3 linked regions of the Coturnix japonica genome follow. The protein of the gene in region 2 purifies or fractionates together with the protein of the main gene of each other region. This does not show direct contact. Links are inferred from orthologs where the notes say so. Each region holds a gene or a part of one and is shown on either strand. Other genes may lie near its edges.

Region 1 (9,732 bases), on a different chromosome or scaffold from region 2:
TTTGAGAGGGAAAACCTACTGTCTCCTGAGCTACAGCCTTCTCCTATTTCTGCAGAAGGGGAAGGCAGAGGATGGAACCAGAACTTACCTTAACAACCTGCTGTAAAAAAAAAGAGGAGGGGAGGGATAGGTAGCTGCATTAGAGTAAATCCTGCTACTGTTTCCTCCCAATTAAAGGCACTTCTAAAGCTACTACATTATTTATGTACAGTAAATGGTTTAAGGTTAACAGTGCATCGTCCTGAAGTTGATTCCTAGCTCATGACAGCACAAATGTGATTGCTAATGGATGCATCTTGGGGAGAAAGAAAAAGGAACGCCTCCTCCAGGGATGCACACTATGTTAACACTTATGTAGGGTGATCCAGTCACAGGACATCAGTATCTATGTACACACGTATGTTTTTTTGCCTGGAAAGGAAGTCTGAGAGAAGAGTTTGTGCTCAGAGTTCATCTGCTAGTTTGTGTTCATTCACTATCTGGGAAAATACAACAACAACCACACCAGACCTTTCAGTTCACATCAGCACTCATCAGAAATGCTCCCATCTCATAGAAAGAGCCAAACCCTCCACACAAGGAAAGTACCAGGGACCAGAAACCAGACCAGACGTGTGGATGAGAACTACTGAAGACAAATTTGTGCGATTTGAAGCCTGACTCGCTTTGCTTTTAAATATTTGTGCAAAACTTACGTAATGTTTGTATATAAAATTATTACAGCTTTCAAGGCTGCCTTTAGCAGTGTTAAATTAGAAAAGACAAAATGATATGCTATACCCTCCCCGGACCTGTAGGCCACCACATCATCTTAGTCTTCATTCGCAAGTGTCTCAGTGGATAGCCAGATTTTGGCACCACTTAAGAATTTGCTTAAAGGCGTTCCCAGAATGCTCCGTCTGCACAGGTTCCCTACAGGTGAAAACGGGAATGAGGAGGAGAGAAAGTCTGGGGCCCCAGAGGTGTCGTTTAAACCACTGGCTCTGAAGTACATCCTGCCTTGATCCAGTTCTGAGCAGTTACCTTGCAAAGGAGAGTTGCTTTTGCACTGTCGAAGGTTCCGGTTTAACATGTCCACTTCATCTGCCAGCAAAGAAACTTTATGGAAAGCAGCGATGAAGCCACCGTGATGAATCTGGGCCTCGGGAACCCAGCGGAAGTAGCACAGTTTCCAGAGTTTGATCTGTGTTCCAGAGAGATGGGGCAGAATTACGCCGTGCAAATCAACAGGCTTTGCAAACCAGTCTCTGAAGAACTGTTCCATACTATTACTCTGACTCTCTGTTTGCTGTAAGAAGTCTGGTTTCAGTTTCAGTATCAGAGAGTTTCTTCTTGGAAGGAACTCCTGCTCACTGATGATTCCATTTTTTAATGCTGGGGGGACACCTCGCAACGTCGAGCTGTAGTTTTTCTGCAGAGAAGAAATACTGGTCATTTATGCTCACTGCAGCAGATCTCCCTGAGCTCCTGTGAAGCATTAACCAGCTGAACGATCTGACCTTCAAACAGTTCTGCACATAGGAGCCATTGCACGGCTCACAGACCAAATGGGGCCACTTAAAGCCTTCAGGAAGAAATACTTAGGTTTTTCAGACTTAGCAAAACAACAAACAATTGAAGTCATCAGCATTCACTGACAAAACTGACAACTCTGCAGAAAAGAAAGGAGTGTGTCGCTGCTTTTCCACAGGTGAAATAATGCAGCCGTCAGCAGCGAGCTGAGGTGAATCAGGGAATGTCCTGGAACACAGCTACAGGCTTCTACTGAAGACCCTTTGTGTACCCTTTCTTAAGGCTGTGAAGGTAAGAGAAGCCTTAGCACTCCTAAGTGACAGTGTACAACACATGTACTTGCACATTTTTAAGCACCATTACAGTTAAGCACAACCCACCCATCCCCAACCAGAAGTCACCAACGTTACCTTTGAGCGCTTGAAAGTTTTCACTGCTCCGTTCTGCACACACGGTGCGCTCTTCCCAATATACAGAGGGTTGTGAAAGAGCAGGCGATCCCTGCTTGTAAACTGAAGAGACCAGTCCCAAACACAAGGAAATCTGAGGCCTTTCTCATCACCCAGCTGAATGTTTTTGCTTATAGCAAATTCCTGCAAGAAGTAACATTCGGCATGTTACAAATCAAATGCCTTTCACAAATCTGAGCCATAGCAGTGTGCAATAACCCGGTGAAGAAGAGCAGAGACATAACTTAGAGGTAGCTGCAGATCAGAACAGTGCAACAAGACAGTCTGCTGCTGGAGGAAACTGCTGCACCCTGCTTTTTGTTTGTGCAGCAGAGAGGCAGGACTAACACTCAGCAGAAAGCACTCCTCAATGGTACCAAAGTGTTCACTATTAAAACCCTTCAACTCTTATTCCGAGAATCCACTTGTGGTTTTTCAATGTTCTACTTCTTTGTAAGGTTGCTCCCTGCAGCACTGCCTGGCATTCTACAATTCCAGACATAAATACATCTGTCTCTTAGCAGAGTGAAAGTAATAACATACAAATAAACAAAACTATGTAGAAAAAAGGAAATTCAACAAACTTTCTTCCAGAACCCTCTTACCATCTATGCAAAGCTCACCTCAAAGGACACTGTGATCATGTTCACCTGGGGAGTATTTTACACCAAACAAGAGAGTGACATTTTGGAGAACACAAAGGAGTACTGCTCAGTGCAGATGCTGCTATTTCTGGAACAACCAGCTGTAACTGAACAGGGGGTGTAATGCTTCATACTCACAGTGCTTTCCTTTACTCGTTGATGCGGACAGTTGAAAAGGAAAGTGCCAAACAGTGAGATACGTGCACTGTCGTACAGGATCGTCAAGTACATTTCAGAAAACTCAAAGGCTGCTGGGTACTGTTCTAGCAGCTGCCAAACACAGTCGAGAAACATCAGGAACAAAGGGGACTGGGAAGAGAAACAGGGAATTTGATTAGATCTCACACAACAACGACAGATAAACAGTATTTCTCTGCCCTGGACAGCAACTCACTTACTCTAATGTCAGCTTCATGATATTTCAAAGCATGGAAAACATTTTTACTTTCAGACTATTTGTGAGTAAATGTTTAAGACAATGCTGTTATCAGAGGAGAAGAAAGGCACTTTTACCTCTTTGTCAGATCTCTTTAAGTGGTTACACCTATCTAAAAACTGATATCCTGCCATGACCCATTCCTTCTGTATCAAGCTTTGAAATCCAACAATGGTTCGAAAATAGGGATCCAGCATGACTTGAACAAGGGAAGCAGCAAGACAGCTCAGGTCCCGTCCCTCTTCCTCTGCAATCACACACAGAACATAGGAAATATATAAGGTGTATATAAGTATATGCATACACATACACAGAATAACATCCCAAAGAGCACAAGCTGGCAACTGAGTTTAGTTTTTAATTTCCTTTAAAATAATTTATAATTATAGAAATAAATATCTTTGCATTTAATTCAAACTTTTTCTCAGTTTCAAAGAAAAGCTAGATATTTTCAGTGAGACTCATCCTATACTGATGGTTCCTGCTACATATCCAGCACAGCAACGCAGTCATAAAGAACCAAAGCATCCCCTGGAAAGCCTGGTACTTGGAAGAGGTGCTCTGAAGGAGGGTGATGGTGTTGAGGGAGAGCTTGAACATGTTTTACCTGGAAGCAATTCTTAGAATGCTAATAAACCAGTGCTGGGCAAGTGCAACACTAGTTGAACATGTCTTGTAAAAGGGCAGAGATGACACCATTTCTGATCCAGATAGCAGAAAGTTTTTCAGAGTATTTTTTCTAGAATGTCTGTTTGCACTGATGTTGGCTGCTCTGGTGTAACTGAGTGCCATCAGCTGGTGAGTGGGCCCTTAGAATTAAAGCAGTATTGCTTATGCGAGGAACATTAGCCCAACCAACACAGTGCAAAAGTCCACGGGGCAGTTCTGATTCTGTCATTATCAGAGAAAAAACAAGAGGGCTCTAAGTGAAATACCCCTTTGATGTTATGGACAATAATGCAGCCCAGACACGTAATAAAATGTCTTCCAGTTCCTTGAATATTTAACATACTTAGAAGTGATGTGTTTATCATTCATAAAGATGATAAGTTGACTTTAAGAAATTGTGTTTGTGTACATTACGTCAATAATGCTAATAATTAGGGGCATGGTTGTATTACCTTGTAGAACTACAGAAACATGCTTACACTCCATCATATACACGAGCTCAGCAGAATGCTTAAGAAATGATCTAGACAGGGAAAGAAAGTGATGTAACAATTAATATTACAGGTTCACACTCTAAAATAAAAAACATTATTCCTATCTATTTTTTACCTAATTTGTTAATTAAAATAGCAGATCCTTCAACTGAATCACTTCTTACATTGTGCAAGTTTTTTACACCTCATGTACCATCGTTTTATTAATGACACAAACCTGATATACTCTAACCAGCGAGTATTCTCCAGTGAGGACAGCCACTTCTCTTCCGTTTCTTCGAAGGGCTCTGCAACAAGGAAAGCAGTAACGCTGCAGAACAATGAATAACTACACCTGCCAGCCAGATCTATTAGAATTGTAGTCCAAGGAAATCACCACTAAGAGGAAGACTGTTCAGCTTACCATTAACACACAGTTGTTTGAGTTTGATGTGCGCAGCCTGGATTTCCTGGATGTTGGGGAGACACTTGTCCAGATCAGATTTGTAAACATCGCTTCTCAGGGGATGGCTTCGAGTTATTGCATTACAAATCCTTGGGTATTAAAGAAGTAAAAATAAAAAACCATCAGTTTTTTTTACTGGGGAGAGTACTTACGAAACATTCCAAACTGCAAAACACTAAAAACTTGTAAAACATGCTTTGTTAAGAAAGAACGAGTTCATGTTTATCTTTAGGAGATGCACTGCTCCTGCCACAGAGCTGCTGGCTCAAAACATGTGCCTGAACTCAGAGGAGTTTCTCAAGCTTTCACACTGTAACATTAAGAAAAAGCATGCTCTGCATTACAGAATGCTGCTCTACGTTACACACCATTGCCCTGTGCTTTATGCTGTGTTAAAGGATAACATCAACTAATTCTTTACCTTTGATCAATTCTTCTTTGTTGCAGCACATCCTTAATGCTGGCCATCCTGACAAGGGCACTCCCGTTGGGATGATTCCAGGACCATAACTAATATACAAAAAACACAAACCAGCAAAGCATGTTTGTGTTATTCCATGCATTTTTTCCCTTAACGCTCTTTATAACCATGTTAACAGGCATACATATCTTCTTTTTAGTGCTGTATTAATAAAGAACAAAGGCTTTACTTACTGGCATTCGTCTCCCAATAAACGAGTGGGAGTAGAGCTTAAGGTCTTGATCTGCTAAGGAAGAAGGGACCACAAAATATTCTGGAAGGCTTGGGAGACAAACACAGAACAAAAAGTTACTTTTCCTTATTATTTTTATCAGCTTTTCTCTTGTTGCAATACTGTCTACACAACTCTATTGTGCCAAATGTTAATAGGCTAAGTAGTTATCATGTGCATCTCCTATGTGTACAGCTCAGATGTATTTGCTTACAGACATGCAAATTTCAGGGGGAAGTATAAGAGCATGAAAGAAACGGATGCCAGATCCAACACTCTGAAAACAGGGCATTCCTACAAAGATGGCACCTGCAGGACCTTCCAGTGGAGGGCTCTCTCCATAGAGCACTCTGATGAGTTAAATTAGAGTTAGGTGGGATTGCAACTTTGTTAGAGGATCAAAGACAGTGTAGTTGCCCTGTTTGCTTCTATGCTTACTTGCATTATAAGAAAAACTTACCAAGTGGATATCATGTAGCCTTCATTGACAGAACAAACTCTCCACTCTGATGCACCCGTCCTTTTGATTTCTCTATCCCAATCAGAGTAAGTTTCAAACAAAGGTGTCTGCTGACCGCTGGCACTGCTGATGCCTCCACCGCTGCCACCGCCGCCTCCTGGGTCCACTCCATTCACCTTCTTTGCTAGGAAAAGAAAATTCATCAATGCACATTAAAAAAATAAAACATTTATCTTCCTAATTACAAGAGCAAGTCACTAATATCGGACCAGCTTTACCTATTTTTGCATGAACACAGATCTTTGGCTCAATGATGGCTAAGATGCAAATGCATTTTCTTCCTGCGAGGTCAACAGAGAAGCAACAAAAAGCTGGTGTGTGGTATAAAGCTGGAGTGTTGTGCTGCTCACTACAAAGCAGGACATGCTAATGGCCAGGAGCAGAGCTTATCTTCAGTGACAAGATTTCTCTCTTCAACATGCCAAAGTCACAGATGTTGCAGAAATAACTAACTGTTAAACACTGCCCTTTAATTGTCTTCTGCATGAATTAAATACTTGGTACATAATTTCAACAGCTTTTCCATATAAATTACCATCTATTTAATAAAAAAGAAAACTCAAGTGAAGACTACGCTAAAAACTGTTTCATAGTGTTTATTTTCTAAAATACCTGTTATATATGTACATACACACACACAGACGTGCACACCCGGCCCATCGCTTTGTGGGTAGGGACCAAGATGATATGCCCTGTTATTATTACAGAAAATCCTCCTTGCTGGTCATTCTTTAGGTGCCAAGGAGGCAGCCAGCTGCGACAAAGGAGACTGCATTCTGTTCCTCCGTACTTGGCAAAGTTATTAAATGAAGGTGAAAGAAGCTGAGACTTCCCCCAGGAAAGCTCCCAGTAAGCACCGTAAAGATGGAAGGAACAATGTGAATTCTGCACAAGCAAAGCAGAAGTCACTCCACTGTGATGTCAGTGAGTGCAATTTCTAACTTGTGTTATCTGTCAACTTGAGCACTCGGACTTTTTACAATTCCATTCTTTCTGAAGAAAACTACAGAACTCAGAATGAAGGAGTTTTCCAAACAGAGTGCACAGAGGAGTACTATAATTACCTGGTGGTTCATGTAAGAAATTCACTGCTTAACAACAGTTATTTATCAAACATAGTCTAGGATAAAATGATGTCCAGGTACACCAGAGCAACGCAGGCTCTTTATGTATAACGACACTATTTGAAGTCCCACTGTACCAGGATTGCTGAGAACAGACAGTTACAGAACACAGTGCTGGAGTGGTAGGAGCAAAGCCAGAGATCCATGCCACAAACCAACCAGGGGTCACTTTAATACATGGAGATCTTCCAGCTAAAAACAGTATCAACCAACACCAAGTGCTTCAAGCTTTTCCCATTAGCAACTACAGCGTAACAGAATGACCAGTTTCTGCCATTCTGATCTGCTGCTCCATAGGAATAAGCATTCTACCCACCTCTTCTAACTGTTCCCCTACTTGTTTTTCCCCATATAACAAACTGTACTTTAAGAACAGAGTTAAGGCAACTCTGCGACAGATCCGTATTTTGTTCATGCTCTGCTTTAACTTCATTGTCCTCTTATCTGCAAAATGACTTCCTCCCTGGTACTTCATTACACTAACATACACAGACCTTAAAAACCACCAAAGATTTACCAGGTAAGATAGTATGTAATTACGCGTGCAATATAATCACATGCACATTCATTCCTGTGCATGCACATGGCGGTCATGTAGGCACCTGCATGGAAAATGTTCGTCTTTGTACAAATTTGAATGTCTGAGCCTACAATTCCACAACATTCAAATTTAGTACCAGGCAGATCAGTGGTTTCTAATCTCAGCTGCTGGGTAAATATTTCAGTACCACAGAACTACGCTGATGGTACTTCTGCTATTTGGAGGCTTGCAGTGCTAGAACTGATGGTTTTCAGCTGTATATTGGCTGGGGAACACTAAGCAGTGACCGCACAGCATGACACTAGAAATCAAGTTCCAAAGGCATCTTTTTCAGGCTTACCTAACTGACAGGGTTCAGTTGGAGATTGGCCTTGAGCAGAGAGGGTGTGCTCCAACTCAGCAGGGGTGGTGGAGGTTTTGGGTGGGAAGAACTGCCTAGTAAGCCTCTAGGAAAGAAGGTTTGGAGTCCCAAGCTGCACAAATCCTCCTGCAATACCACCAGAAGAGAAACTTATTCCCAAAAGAAGGGCAGGTGAATGAGCCTGCCTGATGGGAGATTAGCTAGGCACCTAGAGCACCAGTAGAGACCAATATGCTGATAGGAGGATCAAAGTGTGAATTGAGAAATATTCATGCTGACATCAGTAGCTTTGTTTCACACAAGATATTTCTTTTGATTTTGGTATTTAAAGTCTATCATGATGACTGACTTGCATCTGATAGTAAGAGACTGGCTGCAGGACAGGCCACTTTAATTACCCCTACTGACTCACTTTTTGCTGTTGTTTCTGGATAGAAGTCTTACTAAATGTACACATTGTGGAATAACGAAAACATTTTCATACATACCTGGATTATGATATATTTCCCCAACATACTCGAATGCAAAGAGAAGCTGAAGATCCGTTGGCTGAGAATAATGAGCTATTGCAAGGCACACCTAGGATAGAAACAGTTATTACTAATGCTTATCTACATAAAATTTATTGTCCATTATTATGGTAAGAATAACAAAACCTAAAACCAGTCTTTAGGTGCTCTACCTCCATACTGATTAAAAGGGAAAACAAGAGGTTGCCTGTTGAAGGACCTATGTCAATTTTACACTATATTGTGTTCCAAAATTGTAAAAAGTACTTATGAATGCAAGTAAAAAGCAAATTATTCAGTAATAAAGAGCAGCTTTTTTCCATATGCTGCTTGCAAATGAATAATGCACAGTGGGAGATGCTCTATTGATGTTTGTAGTTTACCCGTTGAATGAGAGGCTGAAGTTTCTCCACCAATTTCCAAACTCAGTAAAAACAAAATGTTCATGTTAGTGCTGTTTGTCAAGGGTGGGGGAACTGCAGTTCTTCGCACTGCTCAGCTGTGAGAACTGAAGCAGGAGCCAACTGAAACACAGCAACGTGTCAGCCTCGCTAAGTCTGGCCCAGCCCATACAGCTTCAGACTCAGATGGCTTGTTTTCATTCAGGAAAGAAACGCGCCCATCACTTCTAGATGCCTGCGGGCTTAGCAAGCACCAACAGCATCTCTGACAACCTGATGCAGCAATCAGGTTTGACCAGGTTGAGTCACAGCCCCTGCCCTGGGAAGAGAAATTCAGCAGAGATTTCAAATAAGAGGTGCATCTCCAGAACAGCAGAGATCAGCCTGAAGCACAAGGAGGAGACTTGTCTAAACTTTCACATTCTTTGTAGCAGTCTCAGGACCAGCTATAAGCCATTCGATTTCTCTCCAAACAGAGTCCTTTTTAGTAGAATTTGTCTTGTTAAAACTAAGAGTGTAACTCACTGCTGAAGATCAGATATCGGGTCAGCAGTCAAGTCCTGCTGTCTGTCACTGCTTTCAGGTGGAAAAATCACCAACAAGTAAAAGGGAAAGTTTCTGTGCTTCCAAGGAATGGAAGCGAAGGAAAGTTGTTTTATTATGAAACACATAAAAGAAGTATATTCATTACACCAGCTGAAGGAATACGACTACTCGCATCATTGTGCAACGGGAAACACATCAGAGCTCATTTGTGCTAAGTTCTGCATGGAGAACACTTCTGTACTACTAGTAATTGAATACAACGTGTGAGCAGCATTATGGAACCTTTGCCATGTATTTTATTGAGACTGGCTTTTGATGGGGACACTTCCTGCAATGTAATGACTGCAGACTAACTAGAGCTGATTTATTTCTCCCCCCCACAACTCCCC
Region 2 (10,423 bases):
TCTGGTAGCACAGGTTTCAGTCACTTCCCTGTGGGACAGCTCCTATAGATGTACACAACCAACTCACTCCTTGGCTTCAGCTCATCCACACGCAGATTTTGCTGAAATAACTGATGAGTTTGGTCCTATCCATCTTTGCAGTCTTTGTCTTTAAGAAGGACTGGTGTGAATCAAAATCAATAGGGCCTCTTAATATAACAAGAATTCTTTATTCTCAGGTAAGGGAAGAGGAACCAATGAGGCTGTGGTTTAGGAGTTCAAATATTATATAATGCACATATTAGTGCCTTTTTGTGCCAGGGAAACTAACAAACAAAAACATGAACAAAAACAACTTGCACAAAAACACATCACGTAAGACATGCAAGAAACCTAAGTTGTATATTCATTCTACCATTATAATTTTTGGAAAGAAGAAACCATCAACGTGAATCTCATTCTTCTTGGCAAAGGACTCCAGATGCTGAGCACTGTGTAAAATCCACCAGGGCCACAGTAACACCATCAGCCTGGAACCAAGAGGCATCGGAGAGGGGTGAGCCCAGCACCAGGAAGAGATGCTGAAACTAAAAACCTGAGTCTATGACACTTGTAACTCATCGTTCTTCCTTTTTCTGTATCAAGCGCATCCAGACTGATAACGATTAGACTTTCAAGATTTCATTTACACTAACAATAAATTTTGGCTATATAAAGACACGCTGCCCTTTCACCAATGAACAATATTTCAAGTGTAACAATTTGTACCAGGACATAGGCTCTTTACTTCACAATGAATTAATCCAAATAAAACTGTTGTTTTATTCTAACCAGATGTTGCCCATCTTCCCAGAATAAAGAAGAAAAAAACACCCTAAGTTTGTTCTCTCTGACAGCAGAAACATGATCGTACCCACACCTGATCCAGATCAAATCCGTACCATTGGGTGATGTAACGTTAGTGGTCCCCAAGGCACTGCCAGAAGCCTATAGAAAGGCAAGGTCTGTCAAGTGGGAGCATTTGTGCATAGATAGCAAGATGACTAGAATATCATTTTGAAGGGGTTATGGACTTGAAAACTACTAACAGTTTTTCTTCATTAAATACATCAGGGCTTAGAAAGCAATGGAAAAGAATTCATGGAGCAGAAAGGCAACAGAGGCAAGGAAAAGAGCTACCTTGAAATCACTGGAAAATTACTGAGTGAGAACATTGTCTGGCAAAGGAAACTACAGATGGTAGGAAAAGGAAAAACAAATACTTGAAAAGTTCCACTGATTTTCTGTTGTTGTCTTTCACAGAATTTTTCTTCAATTAGCTCCTACTTACTGGGGCTATAAAACAGCCAGATGTTTTCCAGTTAAAAATGAAGACTTGGGGTAATTACCGTGACAATATCCTTTTTGTACCTTCCCTTTGCTGGGTTATTATCCCTAACACCTCTACAAGCGAAGCACTTCATTACCTTCCCATCACCCTCTTCTTTATGGTGGAATGGGTTTCCCATGGACAAACTACAGCATCATATTTTTCATGGCCTCTTATACAACTACACCTTGTATATAACACCTGATCATGGCAACCTCTGGAAAGCTTCTGATGCATTTCTAATGCATGCTGGCTCTTCCCCTTTTCTTCCCCCATCCCAACTAAGTTCTCAGGTAACTTAAGCTCTTTGGGGTATGGATCAGGTCTCTTTTACACCACCTAATACCTTCAACACTAAAAAAACATTCACAGTAAAGCAGGTCATCAGGAAAATGTTAACAAAAAAGAAGCTGCAGGCTATTGATTCTTCTGAGCCATTCCAGAGGTGTTATGACCTTTCTAAATGTACTTCTTACCTTTGGTCAAAAACAATAGAAGAAGAGAAGAAATGCAACCATTAAAATATAAGAAACAGATAATTAACCTGTTGAAGATCAGTATTAACCTATAAATGAAGTCAGAGCAGGAGGAGAATCAGATAATACATAGGAATGTGTCACTGACATCATTGGGTCATCCCAAGTCTTACAATTCAGGTTCTGTAATTGTGTTCCTGCTGTAAATAGCCTGTAGTTACAGGACTATGCGTAAGACTCAAAACTGTCTAGCAAACAGACTATTAGTCAACATAATAGCACCATCTCTCTTCAGAAAAGGCAGTGCCTGATAGGACCCCAGAGGGCCGTGTTCTCAGCCTCACTCTATTCCTCATCAGCTGTCAGATCTGGCCTCATCTCTCCGCAGCAGTTTTTCATCTCATTCTTAGACTTTCTCGCTCTTCGCTCCATCTCTCAGCAAGGAGCCACAGTGCTCTACTGAACGTCCAAGAGCTCAGTACAGCAACCCGCCAGGCACTGGTAAAAATAGAGCAGCCCTGGCTCTCCAATGCAGAAATCAGCTCTTTCTGTATTTGTATGGCAGCTAAAGCTGTGGCACCCCAAATTCTCATAAGGCCTCTAACCAATAATTTAACATGAATTAGAATGCAAGAAACAGGTGAATGTCAACTGCATTTTGTATTCTCAAATAGAAAACACACTTATAAAAAAAAAGAAAAAGAAAAAGAAAGAACATGTGCACTTTTATTGAATGTTTAGAATCTGGACAAAGGAATCTGTGTGTGCCCAAAAGGGAAACTTGTATGGCTGAAGGTCTCATAAGCCAAGAGAAGCAGGAACTGAAATGTGGATGCCAAAGTCTGCTACTAAAAGCAATTCTCGTATTCTTCAAAGGTCAGAGTTTCTCCTCACAAATGCACTGCAAATGTTCACCCAAAAAGACTCCACAGCTTTATTTTATCAGTTTTCTACCTGAATCCTCTGACCCCAACAACAGACTCTCCTCATTCTGCGAGTCACGTAAACAAAACTATTCCTTATCTTCACAATATGCAGTACTTGAGAAAAAAATAATCTATCTCAAAATGGGCCTTAGTTGCAAGTAAGTGTTATAAATTATCACTCCTATATTAAAATTAATAATAATGAGTGTGCTGGGAGCTGCTAACTGCTTCTAGGCATAGCGTTTATTTTCTCAGATACAAAGAATCAGTTCATTATCAGCACTCAGCAAGCAACATACTTGTCTTCAATGGCAACAACTCTCAGAAATCCTGCTGCACGCATAGAAGAAATCAAAAGCAAGAAGTGCTCTCAAAGTCCAGGAAGAAAAAGACAGCTACTCGCATTTCACTGAATGCCAGAACTGGCAAAAACCCTTCCTTTTCAAACTCTAACTTCAATGACTCATCACAAAACAACTCCATCAGCAAATCACACACATCTGGTAGCAATGTGGTGCTAGCGAGCCCTCCTCAGCCAACAGCTTACAGATCCAACTCCTTCCAGCATCACTCTCATCTGTGGGGAAAGAATTCCTTCAACATAGCCTTAAATCAGAGCAGGTATTGACAGGACCTTATTTGAGATGAACGGAGTTCATACCTCGTGGAGCTATTGCTTCAACAGACCTCGCTGCACTGATTTACACAGAGCTTATGTTTTCTGAGTTACCCCTGCAAACGCTAAGGACAAGGAGCGTGATTGTTTTCATATGCTTCAGCATGAAGCACAGCGCACAGGATTCACTGCGCCCGCAGACCTCTACGGAGCATAACTGCCAGCAGAGAGGTGGTAACAAGCAACCAGAAAGTGGGAACATCAAACATCGCTACAGTCACGCTGGCAGGAAACATCTGCCCACTGCCTTATCTCTGTCTGTCATTTTAGACTGAGGTTGAAAAATCACCGACATCTCCTGCAGCAATTTCCTTCCTGTACAATCACATCCACGCTTCTGCACAGGCAGTACAAATTCACCTTCAGTGGACCTAACAGAGAGACTCCTGGCCATTCTACTTGTCTGTTGTTCAGACTGAGCTTTAATATGTTTTTCAAACGTTTTTTATGGAAGCACACAGAGATTTGTTCATTTGGAGACTAAGACATGGAATCACAACACAAACAAAATGCCTTATCACCTTTAATGTCACCTACAATTTGATATCACCTTTTAATTTAATTAATTTCACAGAGAGTCTTTCCAAACTATTACTTAGCACAGTGAAAAGGTATTTATCAGTCCCCCAGAAGCCCCAGACCATCACTCAGGTCTACTGAAACATCAAAGCAACCTCCACTATCAGACGTCACCAACATCCCATTTGCACAACCAAATGACAAACATTCTAACACGTGTGTTTTTTAAGGTCCTTATTCACGTGAGCAACCTTTCCAATGGTAAACTCTACCAGCTGTGCCTTACCAAGGGCTCAGAACTCAAAGCTGTCCTACCTTACAGACCACAATAAGAAAGGGATGAAAATAAATATATTGTATGTTGAATGTAAAATACATTCAACCATACAAATATGTTTCAGGGTATTTGCATCGAGATGTTGGAGCAGAGACTTGAAATTCTGAAGGTTATCAGATAAGCTTCTTAATACCCCAAGAAAACTGTTCAAGTTAAGGCCTTTTCAGGACTTGGAGGACAGTCCTGTGCATGCTCAGCAGAGACAGATTTACCACCTCCATCTCCCAGTGCTTCCATCTGTACAGGGCATGCTGCTGAGTAAGGTTCTTCCAAGGTAAGCTGTGTTTCCATGACTGCAGGTCCCAGTTTCCTGTACAGTGACTGACCTTCAGATGGGTCCAAGCTGCCCCAGCTGATGCAGAGAGTGGACGAGAATTATACTGGGGAAGTGAGGAAAAAGAGAAACGGCATCTGGCAGGTAAAGCACACTATGGAAACAGATACAGAAAACAGAAGAGCTTGATGAAGCAGAGTGAAATGGTCACAGAGGACATGAGAAGGATGCGCTATCGATGCAGAGTGGGCACTGCCTGCCTGGGGGTCCTGCTGGGTGGCACAGCAGAGCAGAAGTCAATGTCACCCTGGGATGAAGGCACAGGGGAAGCACCAGGAGATGCAGGGAAAGGTCCGCCTCCTCAACTCAGTGCTCATTGATGTGCTTCTGGGATCTGCATACAGTTTCTATCTCCCTAAAGGCACTGGAGGGGAGCTCAGGAGAGACCACTGAGAGGGTGGGGGCTGGACCACCTCCCCCATAAGGATGGACTGGGTTTGGTCAGCCTGGAGCAGGAAATACTTCAGAAGGACCCACAGGAAGCCCCAGAGGCTACACAGAAGGTATCAAAGGGATGGAGGACGTGCAGTCGCTATCCTTGCACGTTTCCAGTATGACCTGGCCTCCGAGCCATGCCAGCAGGACTGAGAGATCCTTATGGCCATTCAACCTGGGCACAGAGGGCAGCCAGAACGTGGCAGGACCCCTCCAGCCTCCGGGGCATCGTCCGTCCTCCCTGTGCCCCACCCTCACAGCCTCGCAAGATGTGCTTCTGAGTCACGGCATCCACACCTCTCCCACACCCTGCGAGACGCAGGAAGCCTCGCAGAGGTAATTTCCTCTCGGAAATCACCCACGCAGCATTAAAATGTCATTAAGAGTAAAATAAAAAAATAAAAAATCAGGCTCTCCTAAGGCTGTCGGGGGACAAAACGACACGGATTCAACAAACCCCACGACCTTCGCTCCTGTTAATAAGACGGCACAGGGCTCAGCCGCCCCGAGCAGCATTCAGCACTGATGGAGAACGGCGGCACCGATGTTCTCCCCCCGCCCCGCCACGGCTCCGTGCAGCGGGACGGCCCTTCAGGCCCAGCCCTGAGGAGCTGGAGCTGCCCGCGGGGGCCGTTACCTGGACAGGGAATCGCCGCTGGGCGGCCGCGCTGCCACCGCCCGCCCGGCGCCGAGGCTCTCGCAGCTGGAGCTCTCCTCCATGCCGGGCTGCGGGGCGGCCCCGGGACGGGCGGCCGTCAGCCGAGAGCGGGGATGGAGGCGGCCATGCCGGCCCGGCGTGCTGAGCGGGGAGGGCGGGCCGAGGCGGGGCGATACCGAGCGCTGCCGCTCCCTTTGCCGCAGCCTGCCCGCCTCTCAGCGACCGCAGCCCGGTGAGGTCGGTGAGGGATAGCGGTTACGGGCGTCACCGAGAGCCGCCGTGGTGTCAGGGTCAGCGCTGTTTAAGGTCTTCGCCAAAGACGCTGACAGTGGGGTCTGCACCCTTAGCAAGTTTACTGATGATGCTCCAGAGAGATGAGATGTCATCCAAGGAGACCTCGACAGGATCCAGCAGTGGGTCCAGGTGAACCTCATAGGGATCACAGAATCACAGAATCACAGAATCACGGAATCACAGAATCACAGAATGACCCGAGTTGGAAGGGACCTCAAGGATCATGTAGTTCCAACCCCCCCTGCCTGGCAGGGCCACCAAACATACACATTTACTAGATCAGGTTGCCCAGGGCCCCGTCCAACCTGGTCTTGAACACCTCCAAGGACAGGGCATCCACAACCTCCTTGGGCCTAACCACTCTCCTAGTGAAGAACTTCCCCCCTAAGGGATCAACAAAGCCGAGTGTAAGGCCTGCAACTGGGCTTTGGCAAGCAAGGGGTATAAGGATTGAGCACAGCCCTGCTGAAAAGGACTTTGGGGTACTGACTGATGGCAAGCTGTGTATGAGCCAGCAATGCACCCTTACAGCCCAGAGAACCAGCCGTATCCTAGGCTGCATCCAAAGCAGTGTGGCCATCAGGGTGAGGGAGGTGATCCTGCCCCTCTGCTCTGTGCTGTGAGGCCTCATATTGGAGCAGTTTGATGAGCAAGAGAAGAGCTCTTAACATTATTTACAAAGACTCAGGAGGAACTGCAGCTGATGCTTCCCTCTCACAGTGTCTTTTGAACACATTAGCTGTTTTGACAAAGGTTCTATGAGGCAGACAAGAAGCCAAAGCACTGTTAGCAAGCAGGAGGGTTTCAGTAAAGCCTGCTAGTCAGCAGTCTGTTGGTAGAGGCAAGAGAACACCCAGTGTCACAAATATGACTCCCAGGGGACATCCATGCTTGAAACAGTAACTCAAAACGTCATAAATCCTCTACAAATCTGAATGTTCTATGGATGTAAAATGGTTACTCATCACCCATTTGCTCTCCAAAGAGTAAGTCAGTTGATGTACCTCCTCCTGCTGTTTCCCAGTTTGCTCCTGTCACTGGATGTAAGTCCAAAGCACTTCGAGTCACTTGCAAACTGGTGAGGGCAAGCAGGATGTTGAAGCCGTATTGCAGCAGCCCCGTCTGAGACAGCATTAAGCTGCTGTGAAATTCCCTCCCCTGCTCTTCCCTTTAGTGTCTTTCAGCTGCTGTTGAGCAAGCTCGATGTGGGATGGTTTGAAGCTGGTTTAAACTTGAAAACACAGCTTTGTCAAAGCAATTTTTTTCCCCGCTGTTTTGGTTTTCTTTTTTAACTTCAGAAAAAGTCCCTGAATTGCCAGATGAGTTTGTCTAGTCCTTTCATTTATTCACTTATTTCTTTATTTTCCTTTTCAGCCTAGAACACGGGCTGGCAGGGGCTGCTGAAGCAGCAGCAGCAGATCTGCATCTCTGGTAAGCGGTCACATAACTCCTGGCTGCCTTTTCTCTGTTCTTCAGTCCCTTCCCAGTCCCTCTCAGGACTGAGTTCCTGAAGGCGTTAACCCTTAGCAAAGGTCGCTATTGTGGAAGTGGTACAGAGCCGTGTATGTCTCGCTTTCCAATCTTATCAGACTGATACCCTTATGGTGAGTTGCAGTTACCTTCGTTCCCACTGCGTATGTAGTTTGATAGCAGCACAGTTGTTTAAAAGAAGTCAAGTAGGAGTAAAAACAATATACAAGCCCCCTTTGCTATGTGAAAGTATTAGAGTGCCTTCTTTTCTTCCTAATTTGCCATTGATGTGGCATCTCTATGTAGTTTATTGATGAAGTGCGCTATTTGCTTTTCATTGCCCTGTTTTGTTCTTGGCCTTATCCCCAGGGCCTGTGAAACCCTTTAGAAACTCTCTCTGGTGCTTTGTAAATGAGAACAAAGCTAATCACCTCCTGGATCTCTCCTGCCGCTGAAAAGAACTACCAGGCTGCTCAGCGAGTCTCTGTGCTCAGCAATAGCACGTTTTCAAAGTCAGGCAGAATTTTCTCCCTGGGAAGTGAGTTACCTCAGGGCTGGTGGAAGTGATGGAGAATTAACTAAAGGCCCTGACATAACCAAAACCAATTAAGGAAAATTCACAAGACTCGTTTATAACTGATATAAAATAAATAGCCTTTCTTTCTTACCTGAAGAGGAGTGGCCAGCAGGGACAGGGAAGTGATTGTCCCTCTCTACTCTGCTCTCATGAGGCTTCATCTGGAGTACTGTGTCCAGGTGTACCCTCAACACAAGGAAGACACTGAGCTGTTGGAGAGGCTTCAGAGGATGTCCACAATGATCAGGGGGCTGGAGCACGTCTACTACAAAGACAGACTGAGGGAGCTGGGCTTGTTTAGCCCGGAGAAGAGAAGGCTGCAGGGTGACCTCATTGCAGCCTTCCAGTACCTAAAGGGAGCCTATAAACAGGAGGGGAGTCAACTCTTTGAAAGGGTAGATAATAACAAGACAAGGGGAAATGGTTTTCAGTTGAAGGAGGGAAGATTTGGGTTGGATATCAGGGGCAAGTTCTTTTCCAGGAGAGTAGTGGGGTGCTGGAACAGGCTGCCCAGAGAGTCTGTGGGTGCCCCATCCCTGGAGGTGTTAAAGGCCAGGCTGAATGGGGGCCTGGGCATCTAGTTGGGAGTTGGTGGCCCTACATGCAGTAGGGTAGTTGGCACTTGATGATCTTTGAGGTCCCTTCCAACTCAATCCATTCTTTGATTCAATTATTCTATGATTCTTTAGGCATTTAGAGGTGAAAAGTTGTGAAGACTACAAAGCAAAGGGGACAATTTTATGTACTACATAAAACAAGTGAGGGGAAGTAAAATTTTGTCTCTGTCCTTCAACATGAAAGATAGTGTATGCATCCATTATATTTAAACTACATGTCTGTAGAGTAAAGGCGTTCTAGCTGAATGTGTGCATGTAGTGCATGCATCTGGTGTATGATAGATGAATGTGCTAGATTTTACAAGCATCCCAGTCCTGGAACTCCTTGGCTTTACTGCTGCACAGTCAATCAGCCTCACTCTGTCCCCTGCTTATATGGATCTTGTGGGGATGTTTGGTCGTCGTCTATAACTCTTTGACCAAACATAGCTGGGACACTGTGTGCCAGAGCAGATAAACAGTTCTTCTTCTACATTAGTCAAAGGGAAAGGCTGTGTGCTCTGATGATTCTAAGAAGGCATGATCTCTTGCTGCAGTCTTTATCATACCCTGCCCTTCCATCGTACAGCTCATCAGACATTCCCCTCCTTCCCACTCTTCTCCATCAAACAACAGAGTTTTTTGAAAGCCCTGTAAATACAGAGGGAGGGCTGCCCTAATACCTTTCAAAAATGGTGCCCTTGTCCTCCACTTCATCACCGACATTAAACTCACTCTCCTTGCTGGAGCTCTGGATCACCCATATTTTCCTCAAATTACTCATGTGTTCCTGTATCACTGCCTGTGCCCTGTTAGCCAACACACTAAATAACTCCAGGCAGTGGCAGCTTCACACACTGTGCTTTCTTCTCTACTAGTCCACATCAGTGGGTCCAAAAATTTGCAGCTTGACTCAATCCCATAATTGTTCTAAAAACCACACACAAGAGACACTCTCATCTCTCCCTTTGATTCATTAAAACGGCTCTCAGATTTATTAAGTTCTCTTGTCTCCTTGATGTGCAGCTTAAGGGCAGTGGGCAGCTGATAAAAGATTCTCAGTGCCTTCGGAAGGGCAGATTGTTACTGATGAGATCCCACTGTGATGTATGATCACCAAATCACATTGGAGGTGGCATGTATCCCTTTTGTCAAGCTCCATCAGCTGATAAAGTATGAGGTCAGAAACAGCGAGAGCTTTGGCACACACAGAGAGACTGATGAAGAACAACGTGCTGTGGCTGTGAGCTGGAGCTAGAGCTGCTTGTGGTTGTGAGAACATCTGTTACAAGACGGTCACAGCGCACATGCACAGATTTGATCCCACTGATGCATGATGCCTGTGCTGTCAAAACTGGAAACCAGACAAAACCCAGAGAGAGCCTCAGTGTACTTGAGGTTAACCTGATCAGAGTGGTTATCCTCATTCACCCACGGTGTGGTTCTTTGCTGGCTGATGACACCCAGAGAATACTTTTGCCTTGCAACCCACACATCTTATAGAAGCAGAAGCTAATGATCAGTGGGCCTCCGATACTTTTTTATGCCACTTAATTGCCTTTCTTATGCAGTCATGCACATACTGGTACCGAATGTTACAGATGTGGAGCTCTGGACTCAACCTGAGCTGTATCCTGCATACTGTAGTTTGCAGAGCACTGCTGATAGGCCAGGTATTTATCCTGCATGCTGCTCTGCCTGTGGATTGCTTTCTTGTCCTCGCTGCCACCCGCAGCTAGTTACTGCTCATGGAGCAGGCATCACATATCAGACAGAC
Region 3 (9,732 bases), on a different chromosome or scaffold from region 2:
CTTCTGTTTTACAACAACTAGGAAACAAAGTACTGTCCCATGCTGACAAAGTGCCTGCAACTTTTGAATTACAAGCTGCAGTAGCTTTTGCCAAAACCTTACAACAAAAAGTCAATGTAACAATAGCTATTTACAAAGTTGATGCTTAGTGTGAGAGGTAAGAGCAGCAAAACTTTTAGTAAGCTTGTAGGCAAGCTTTCAACCAGTACGTAGAATTTCATGGAGTCCATTAGCTTTTGGGGATCTGTGTCTCTTAGTCTTACTGTGATTTCCCAAGCTTATGCATATTAACTTTGTATTTAGTTGGTGCATTATTTGACTGGTGAAGCAGAAGACTTTAATCTCTTGGTGATTTGATACAGAATCTATAGGACAATTAGAAAACCTCCCTATGAGCTCCTGAAGACAGATGACTTGTCAAGCAGCCTTCCATCTCTGCAAGAAATCCAGACTGCGTACACAAGGTTTAAGCAGCTGTTTTTGATAGGTAAGTTGAACTTAAGAGTAATCCTCAGTCTCTGAAATCTGTAAAAGAATGATAGTGTTGTTCTTTGTCTAATAAAGGTATTCATTCTCTTTGTACCTTATTTTCTGATGCTGTTTTTGATACTGAAGAGAAAGGCAGGATATGAGATAACTCACCAGAATTCAGAGTGGAGATTTCTTTTTTCTGGAATATGCTGTCAAAATTGCAGCAAATCCTTCCTACTAAAGAGCTAAAAGGAATGGGTTATAATTTCAGTATAGTTACTCCTGCCTTATACTCCTACGAGAAAAAGACCAGCTTACGTTTAAGACACGTATCAGGAAATACTGTATATCTTTTAATCAGAAAAATGTGGACTCGAAAGAAGCTGAACAAAGCAATAGCTCCCCTTCTCTGTGTTTAAAGTTTTTGCACTCTTGATCTCAGACTTGACGGCACTGCAGCCTTGTTACCTGCAGACCAGAATGAGCTCTCATTCTTGTCTGATGAATACTTTGATTGAGTGAATTACTAGTTATCAGAATCCAAGCAGCATCAAGCCACAAAACTAGAAAACCAAGAGCAACCCCGAAGTAAATTACTTCTGAGAGCAGTACTGTGCTGTATGCTTTAAAAGTACTAGATTTTTTTTATCTCAAACTCTTACCTGAAAGACGTTCTAGCTAAACAGTTGACATATCATACTGAGTCTGCATGGAGGCCAGAGCAATGCTTTTAAGTGCCTCTGCATTCTTATGTTTTTTGTGATTTGCGATAAACAAGAGCTGAACTCATACTCTAAATATGTGATACTTAAATTAATTACTTATGGAAATTAGAAGGTTGTTTCTTTTTTTTTTAATCAAGAAAATAGCACAGATTGCTCTTACAAACTTCATAGCTAGCCTATCATCTTTTAAATAAAACAGTGTTCTTTTGAAATATGTTTGTTATCTCAGATTTGAATGGGAAGCTCAGTAGTAATAAACAGTGTAGCCAGTTCTTTCTGGGAGAGCTGAGAGAAAAGTGTTAGTTTGTTATATTCTTCAAAGAAAAAAAAATGCATAAAATTAATATTCAATTCTATAACAATACATAAGTGCAATTTTAAGCAGTATTTAGCTGCAGCTTCTGGTCTATCTGTCTAGTTTTCAAATCTGAATTAATCACTTTTCAATTGAGCCCACAAGCTTCTATGTGTAACAGCTGCACAGAAAAAGAATCATTCCACAATTTAATAAATATCATTGGGCAACACTGTTTAGGCTGCTAGTTGATCTTCTGATCCCATTTTTACTCTTCTGGAGTGTTCTCCATGCGTCCTGCACTAGCATACAAGTACTTAACTGTAAGACCACTACACCCGACTGTGATGGTTGGTGATAATGGTTGAGTGAACCTGATTCTGGAAGTATATAATGGTGCCTTTAAGTTTGCCTTATAAAATATGCTCTGCTTCCATCTGGGCTCTCACCTCAAAGTAATGCTGCCTGGTAGCTACTGCCTCATAGCACTGTCTCCTGGTAGTGCATGTGGTTCACCAGTAAAATAATCTCTCCTGCCCGTTGTTGAGGACTTTGCACTAACAGATGTCTTCTTTGGAGGTGATGCACCACTGTCCTTTTTTGCTTCTTGCATTTGCCTTCAGTAGGTTCAATATTCAACATCAGAATCTTCAACTCTCAAGTTCAGAAGAGATGAAGTGCTGTGCAAATTGAACATAAACGCTTAGTTTCCAGAGTCACAGGATATGAGTATTCTCCTGCCACAGCTTTGCAAACTCGTACTCAAATTTTCATGTACTTGGCATCAAACTTCTGATCTGATAATGTATGTTCTGAAGCTTTAGTACAGTCTGTCAGTTCCCAAGACTGTTCATTTCTGTGGCATTACTACTCTTGAGCAAGCCAAATAACATCGGCTTTTCTTTGTTCTGGTACAAAGCAATTAACTTTGCTGTTTTCTTTGGATGTTCTCCAGTGCTATGCAGTGTCAAAGCTCTGGCCTGGTTCCATAACTGATGGGGTGGAGGGACCCACAAACCCATGCCTTAGGAGAGGGGATAGAGAAAATATTGGGAGGTGAGCCTAAAAATAAAACAGTGGCAGTGAGCTAAGGGAGAAGACTAATTTGCTAAATGTGATAGCAGGATGCAAGGTGACACAATACAATTGGAATTGAAGCTAATAAATAAAGTGAGATTAGAGAGTGTCCAAAACCAAAGGCCCTACTGTAATGCTGAAGGCAAGGTGGTCAGGGAGCACACGGTGCAGAGATGAGCAGTAAAAGAAAGGGCAGTCTCATGACTTGAGAGCAGTTTCATCTTTCCCTCTGAATGGAAAATGGAAATGGAATAGTTAAGTCTTATGGGATTTCTATTTTTTCTCTTCTAAGAAAGGTATACCCAGAACTACTGACAATCCACAGACTTGGTGGCCTAACTATTAAACTCCCAGTGTACTACATGATGTTACGATATAGAATATCAGTTACAAAAGTCATAAAACCACAAAGTGATTATCAACAACTGGACGCACTGCCAAATCTATCGCTGAATCTTTTATGCACTGGCAAAAACTCTGCAGCTTGGAATGCATGCCACACTTTGTAATTGAGAGCTAATATAATGGATGGCCATCACTTGGTGGTACATGTGAGTAAACTGCTTTTTTTGTTTTGTTCAGATAACAGTACGGACTTCTGGGCAACTGATGTGAAGTGGTTTTCGTTGTTGGAGAGCACAAACTGGCTAGAGATCATCAGGTTTGCTATACCTATAACTCTTGTTTTCAGATTGTTGCTAGTTGAATTTCTAGAGAGTTTTCAAGAATTTTCTTTCCTACTGGAAAGGTGAAGGACATCCTTGTATTTCAAGAAACTAAGACAATATTATGGTCCTATTTATCTTTCTTCTACAACATAGTTCACCATTTCTACAGTGCAGAACTGTGTTAAGCACCCCACTTTTAAAAGATTGGGAGAAGCAACAGATCATTCTAATGACAGTTCTTTTAGGAAATCTCTTAAAACTATGGGTCTGTGAATTTCCTTCCTGTACTTAGTCAGCTTCTTTCCAAACTGAAGTATTCTTTCTTTCTTTCTTGCATGAAACCTGTTCCATGTCTGACTAGCCTTGCCATTCTTTGTACTCTCTACTTCTATAATATCCTTTAGGATGGGATGAACTGCAGTATTCAAGATGTTAGCCCACCACAGATTAATAAAATGACAGTTGTTCTCAGTTTTGTCCCCTTCCTCTCCTGATTGTTCCTCAAGTTCTTTTTCTTCTCTCAGCAATCCACAGTGAGTAAGTCTTGGAATGGTGTTGGCTGGCATAAGGCTTGTTGTAGTGGAATGTTGAGGTTCTTTTCTTTGTTTTCAGTGTTACTTTGTGCTGTCTGAATTATCTGTTGGCTTATTCTGTGATCAGCTTGTTACTATGAAGTACTTCTTCAGTTTTTTGCAGTCAGCTTAAGTTCATTCTGTGTGGAGTAATAGTCAACAAATACTGACGTTGATTGAATGAGAGGTTCTTGTGAAGGTCATATGTTGGGAAGTCCATTGACATAACTCATTTATTACGATTAACTAAAGTACATACCAGCCCAAACTCCTATCCTTAGGTTGCTTTGAGACTGGTCATTCCATACTTGTATGCAGTTACTTTCTGAATCAGTATATTCTTGGCTCTTGGAGTCAGTAGGAATGCCCTCTCAACCACACTAAAGAATCCAACAGCTTTACAATTGGAGACTAAACCGTTCACATCTGTCAGTGGCCTGATCAGCTGTAAGAATCATCATTTGCATGCAAACATTTTCACTAAGTGCCAACTTCATCAAGGGTTAGGGCTAGAAACCAGCAGTGTAAGTCTGTTTTTACATGGTCTTTAACTCCACTCAGTCATCCTTGTGTAATGATAATCTCTGAATAAGCATTGTCTGCATGCTTACAACATCTGATTGCTGATCTTCCCCTCTCTTGCTCAAAAACAGATTGTGGGAGAAATACACCATGTAGCAGGTTGGAAAATAAGTGAGGCTATGTACTAAGAAAAAGATCTGGATCTCAGCAATAGTAACGCTTCGTCTTTGTAATGATTTGTACTGATTCAGAATCAAGTACTGTATGATGAATGTACAGAGCTAACAACTGGAAATGTGTGATTGATTGCTAAATAAGGATACCTCCTGGAAGCTTGATGTTGAAATGAAGTGCTTCTTCATCTGTAGAAGATGAGTGAAGTTTTATATTAAAAGAATCAGCAAGTCTCAGTAGTGCATTTTAACTCCTTTTTAGGGAGCATCTTTTTTTCTTAATAAAAAACATTTTAATAGCTAACTGGCTAACATCTTAATGGTTAAACTAATCTCTTCCTGTACCACAATAGGCGAGTCTTGAAGAAAGCTATAGAAGTTGTTGAGTGTCTGGAAAGGCAGCATACAAATGTTCTCCTTATTGGTAAGAAATTAATGAGATTATCCTATTTTATATTATTTCAAATTTCAATATATTACCCTATTTGTAGAAATAATTCTGATTTTTCTTTTGAAGTTTTAAAAATGTAGCTTAAGCTCTCGGTTCATAAAAAATATGGTAGAAACTGGTACAATTGATAAGTGTCTGCTACTTTAAGTGTGCTAAGATCACATGTTCTTGGAAATACTTACTGTAGCTTAAAAACAAGACTACCAACAGGACAAACAAACAGGAAAAAAACATAAGGAAACATTCAGTAAGCATGGCTCAGAGCTAAGAGGAATAGATTATGAAGGAGAAAGCTGCTTATAAACTTTTATGCAAATTGTACTGTCTCTTATTCATTCTCATTTCCTAACTTATTTTTAAGGTCTTTTGCTCTGTTTTGAGGCTGAAGAGAGAGGATGAGCTTCACACAGAGCATAGAGAATAAGAGCTTTTTAAAGTGTTATTTTTGCTCTAGATGCACACTAACATATATAATCACTTTACTAAAAAGTGTATGCTTACTGTATACATCTTAAGCAGTGTGTCTGCCCAGACTGATGAAAGTAATCGCATAGAAAACCAAACTTAATGTTAACCAACACCCTTTTTTTCTATCAACACTTGAGGGATTTTTTGACCACGTTACCATTTGAGAAACCTAGCTCTGGAAGACATTTCTCAAAGGCACGTGAATGACAGAAGATGGATATTGCACAAGGGAGCAATTTCAGCACTGTTGTACACTCCTTACATTATGTCTCTTGTGTGCATTTAGGAATACTTAAAATCACAGCCACACCTTGTGCAAAGGTGCATGCAGAACAATAGGGAGAGGATTGAGTAGCTGGTATAATAACTTAAGGCAGGAGGGGGCAGTATGTGCCCTGTGGGAGACTGAAAGGCATAGGGATCAAAATCAGAGTATTGAAAGTTTGCTTTGTATTTTGTCTAGCATATATGTCCAAAAACCTTTGTTTTCAGAAAAAAAAAAAATAATAATTTTAAAAAACAGTATTAGAAATACAGATTTAATGTTTCTCTGATATAACTTGTGAGGAATTGTGTGCTTCTGTGTTTTAAAATACAGTTTTGATTTGTAACATGCAGTTAGTAATTCTTTGCTTTGTTACCCAAATTTTAAGGAATGGTTTAGACAATGCAGCTTTTTCTTCTCTTCTGTAGAAGAGAGTGCCACTGATATGTGCTGTGTAATCTCCAGTCTGGTTCAAGTGATGATGGATTCATACAGCAGAACAAAGCTGGGATTTCAGAGCCTTATTCAGAAGGAGTGGGTAATTGGAGGACATGGCTTCTTGGATCGTTGTAACCATTTACATAAAAGTGACAAAGAAGAGGTATATTTTTCTTTAATTTTCCTTACCTGTTATCTAAAATTTTATCTAGTTTAAAGAGGGGCTTAGCTGTCCATCCAGAAGCTCCTTTGTTTTTCTTTCTGCTTCATGGGTGAATATTTGATATAGTATTAGTGTTTCTGCTATATAGAGTTCATCAATGCCTTTACAACTAAAGAATAGACATGAAATTTCAATTCAGTCTGTGAGCCTTTCAAAAAAGACTTGCATCTTGTGTCCTTTTAAACTGTGAAATAGTTAACATCCATAGAAACAACTTAACGTGAATTATGCGTTTTTTGTCACAGCTCCATGTTTGTATTTTGGGCATGAATCAGATTGCTGTAAGGAATTGCAATCATTGATGCAAACTGTTCAATTCTAATTAACAGTTGTTATGAGCTAGTTTTGCAACTTAGAAAGTGGCTCCTCTGCAGCCTTGTATAGTGAGCTAATGTGTAAAATTCAGCTTAGAAAGTGTTGCTCTCTTCTGTTAACAGCTGGCTTGGGGTCACTCAGATGATACTGCAGAGTTCAGCCCAAGCTGTATACAGCAATTCCATAATTCCCCAGGTTGTGTTCTTTGATTTGAGTTTGTAGATGCTAAATACTGTAAAATAAATGGTCTGCATGATAGAATGTACTTTTTTGTGTGTGTGAAATTGATGAGATGTTTTCTTTCAGGCTCCTGTGTTTCTGCTCTTGCTGAACTGTGTCTGGCAGCTGGTACAACAGTATCCTGCAGCATTTGAGTTCACAGAAACTTACTTAACTGTCTTGTCTGACAGCCTCTATGTGCCTATATTCAGCACTTTCTTCTTCAACTCACAACATCAAAAAGACACTACTATGGTAAGGGTTTGTTTTGTGAATGCAGTCTGTTGGATAACAAGTTTGACCAATAGGCAAGGAATACTCAGAAAAAGAATAAAATCACTAGTAGCGTGTTTTTTCCTATTTAATTGAAGAATGGTGCTTTGGAGGTGAATCAGTGCAACTTTGGATCTAGAGAGTCATGTCCAGTACCTCTGAGTGTATGATGACAAGATGAAAATAACTCAAATCTGTTACTTCTGGTGTGGGGCAGTAGTTCCACATTCATTACTTATCAGTGGAAAACTGAGCTGCTTAACCCAGGCTGTCCTGCAGAAGTTACCTACAAAATTCTTCTGTCACATACTCTTTGTTCTAAAATCAGTGGTTTTTGGCTGTTGATTTATATTTGATTAATGCTTTTCCTTAGCTTAAGCAGGTGGAAGTAGGCGGTAAGGAGCCTAAGAAATTAAAGATCACTGTTTAGCATACGAAGTGCTGAGCATAACATTTAAATTGGCATCACTGCATGACTGCAGTGAAATAGAGAGGTTTATTCCATAATCCTGACATGCCCTCTGTGTTGGAGTTCAATTATCCATTTCCCACCCAGCTTTCAGAATGTTTCTTAAGTTCACCTTGACTTGGTCAGTAATCCTTTCTAACTGTCTTAGTTGTGACCTGTTTGTTTTGGCAGACCGGTGAAAGCCAGAAGACACAAAGCAGTCCTTTCAGATTCCTCACTGTGTGGGACTGGTCTGTGCAGTTTGATCTCAAGGCCCAGGCTTTTCTGAACAACCCTCTTTATGCAGAGAAACCAAAACCAGAAAAAAGCCAACGGAAAACAGCACGATTCAAAGTAAGATATATATATGTATTTTTTGCTTAACCTGTTATTTCTATAGCTCAAAAATAAGAAAAAGTAGCACAACTTGGTTATACTTCTAACATGCTTACAGTAGCGGTATTACCGTCAACTATCAATTGACAAAACGTGTACAGCTCAGACTCATCTAGGTCTTGAGTGCTGCTTGCATCTCTCTCAGCTTTTCAATCAGTCTTCCATGGTTTCTGTGCACAGCACAGCTTTTCTTACTACTGCACTTGCATACAGCTACTAACTTCTTCCTGGAACTTAACGTTCAGGTGAGTTGTAATGATTTTAAGTTATTTTATTGTTTTGTTCCAAAAGTACTTAATTGAATTGCATAGCAAGCTTGTAATTGCCTCCCTGATTTTTGCCTTGAGTGTAATGGGAGTCTGTGCATGCGTTAAGAAACAAAACAAACCCAGAATCAAACAACATCAAGGGTTCAGAGTATTGAGTGGATCACCTCATTACTGGCAAATAACATAAATTCAAAAAAAGGAACTTATTTGGGGTAGCTGTTCTGAACTTTCCCTGTTGTCTAAAGTCTGTTTTGTACTAAAGCATTCTCAGGTGTGACACTGTTATGACACACAGTGTAATTTGCTTCTATAAAGTGGCAAGTAATGAGGAAATGTAGAATTAAAAACTTCTAAGTCAAATGCGCTTTGATTTGTATGGCCATCTTAAATTAAACTTGGAAATCTGTGTACTTGTATGAAGGGCATTTTCGTGTTTCAAGGAATGCTTTGTTCAGTGTTACTTTGCTGCTGTAGTTGCAGGCGAAGTAGATGCAAATACAGAATACTGTGTGAGTTATTTGATACGTTAGCCATCAAGAGTGGCAGACACTATAGCAAAGGCCAGGCTGTGTTTAAGTCACTTCATTGCTTTTAGGTATTTAGTGAGGTATAACTGTATTTCTGAATACGGTTTCAATGTTTTTCTTACTGAAGATTCTTAAAGTGTCATCAATATTTATCTCAGTATATTTTTATTTTCTTTTTCCCCTTAAAGCATCAACGGCAGCTTTCTTTGCCACTGACACAAACAAAGTCTTCGCCAAAGAGGGGATTTTTCAGGGAGGAAACAGATCATCTAATTAAAAACATTCTAGGTAAAAGAATTGGCAAGTTCATTAATTCTTCAGATGAACCTCCGAACAGCTTCAGGGAGTTTTATGATAGCTGGCATAGTAAACCTGTTGATTATCATGGTCTTCTGTTGCCTCGCATCGATGGACCTGAAATCAAAGTCTGGGCTCAGCGCTATTTACGATGGATTCCTGAAGCGCAGCTTCATGGCGGTGGTACAATCGCCACAGCCGCCAAGATTTTGGACTTGATGGAGGAAGTGCAAAACTTGCAAGTGAAAATGGATGAAGAACATAGTCAGGCTGTTTCTGGAGACATACACGCTGTTCCAGTGCTGAGGAATTCTGCTCGTTTGTCATCTTTGTTTCCTTTTGCTTTACTTCAGAGACAGTCTGTCAAACCCGCTTTACCCACGAGCACCTGGAAAGACTTGGAAGATGAGGATGACTTGGTCAAGAGAGATGATGAATTTGTTGATCTAAGTAGTGATATGTTATAAAGTCTGTATAAATTTATGTACGTATTCTATGTGGTTAAGCTCTGAGTTTAAGATGTTTTGCTGTATCCTGATCTAAAGAACTCGAGTACCTACAGCCTGCTGAGTGGGTTTGTAGGGTATAGGAAACTTGGCTGAGTATATTTTGAACTTTGATTTTACTCTAACAGTATTTA

What was found.
Region 1: the proteins of MTMR2 (region 2) and MTMR10 purify together in Homo sapiens (affinity purification with mass spectrometry; 5 studies listed by BioGRID and IntAct, with this or other methods). This does not show direct contact. The link is inferred for Coturnix japonica from reciprocal best matches to the Homo sapiens genes MTMR2 and MTMR10.
Region 3: the proteins of MTMR2 (region 2) and MTMR12 purify together in Homo sapiens (affinity purification with mass spectrometry; 5 studies listed by BioGRID and IntAct, with this or other methods). This does not show direct contact. The link is inferred for Coturnix japonica from reciprocal best matches to the Homo sapiens genes MTMR2 and MTMR12.

Annotation. Positions count from the first base shown.
Region 1 is NC_029525.1:4,816,545-4,826,276, reverse strand, and holds part of MTMR10 (myotubularin-related protein 10), read right to left. Parts: intron 8,467-9,732; coding exon 8,376-8,466; intron 5,986-8,375; coding exon 5,802-5,985; intron 5,392-5,801; coding exon 5,304-5,391; intron 5,160-5,303; coding exon 5,071-5,159; intron 4,739-5,070; coding exon 4,608-4,738; intron 4,492-4,607; coding exon 4,422-4,491; intron 4,234-4,421; coding exon 4,163-4,233; intron 3,289-4,162; coding exon 3,119-3,288; intron 2,915-3,118; coding exon 2,744-2,914; intron 2,106-2,743; coding exon 1,923-2,105; intron 1,412-1,922; coding exon 812-1,411; 3' UTR 1-811.
Region 2 is NC_029516.1:165,631,485-165,641,907, reverse strand, and holds the start of MTMR2 (myotubularin-related protein 2), read right to left. Parts: upstream 5,872-10,423; 5' UTR 5,772-5,871; coding exon 5,689-5,771; intron 1-5,688. UniProt on the Homo sapiens protein: Lipid phosphatase that specifically dephosphorylates the D-3 position of phosphatidylinositol 3-phosphate and phosphatidylinositol 3,5-bisphosphate, generating phosphatidylinositol and phosphatidylinositol 5-phosphate.
Region 3 is NC_029547.1:8,938,578-8,948,309, reverse strand, and holds part of MTMR12 (myotubularin-related protein 12), read left to right. Parts: intron 1-362; coding exon 363-487; intron 488-3,150; coding exon 3,151-3,229; intron 3,230-4,856; coding exon 4,857-4,927; intron 4,928-6,115; coding exon 6,116-6,288; intron 6,289-6,969; coding exon 6,970-7,137; intron 7,138-7,795; coding exon 7,796-7,957; intron 7,958-8,983; coding exon 8,984-9,559; 3' UTR 9,560-9,732. UniProt on the Homo sapiens protein: Acts as an adapter for the myotubularin-related phosphatases. Regulates phosphatase MTM1 protein stability and possibly its intracellular location. By stabilizing MTM1 protein levels, required for skeletal muscle maintenance but not for myogenesis.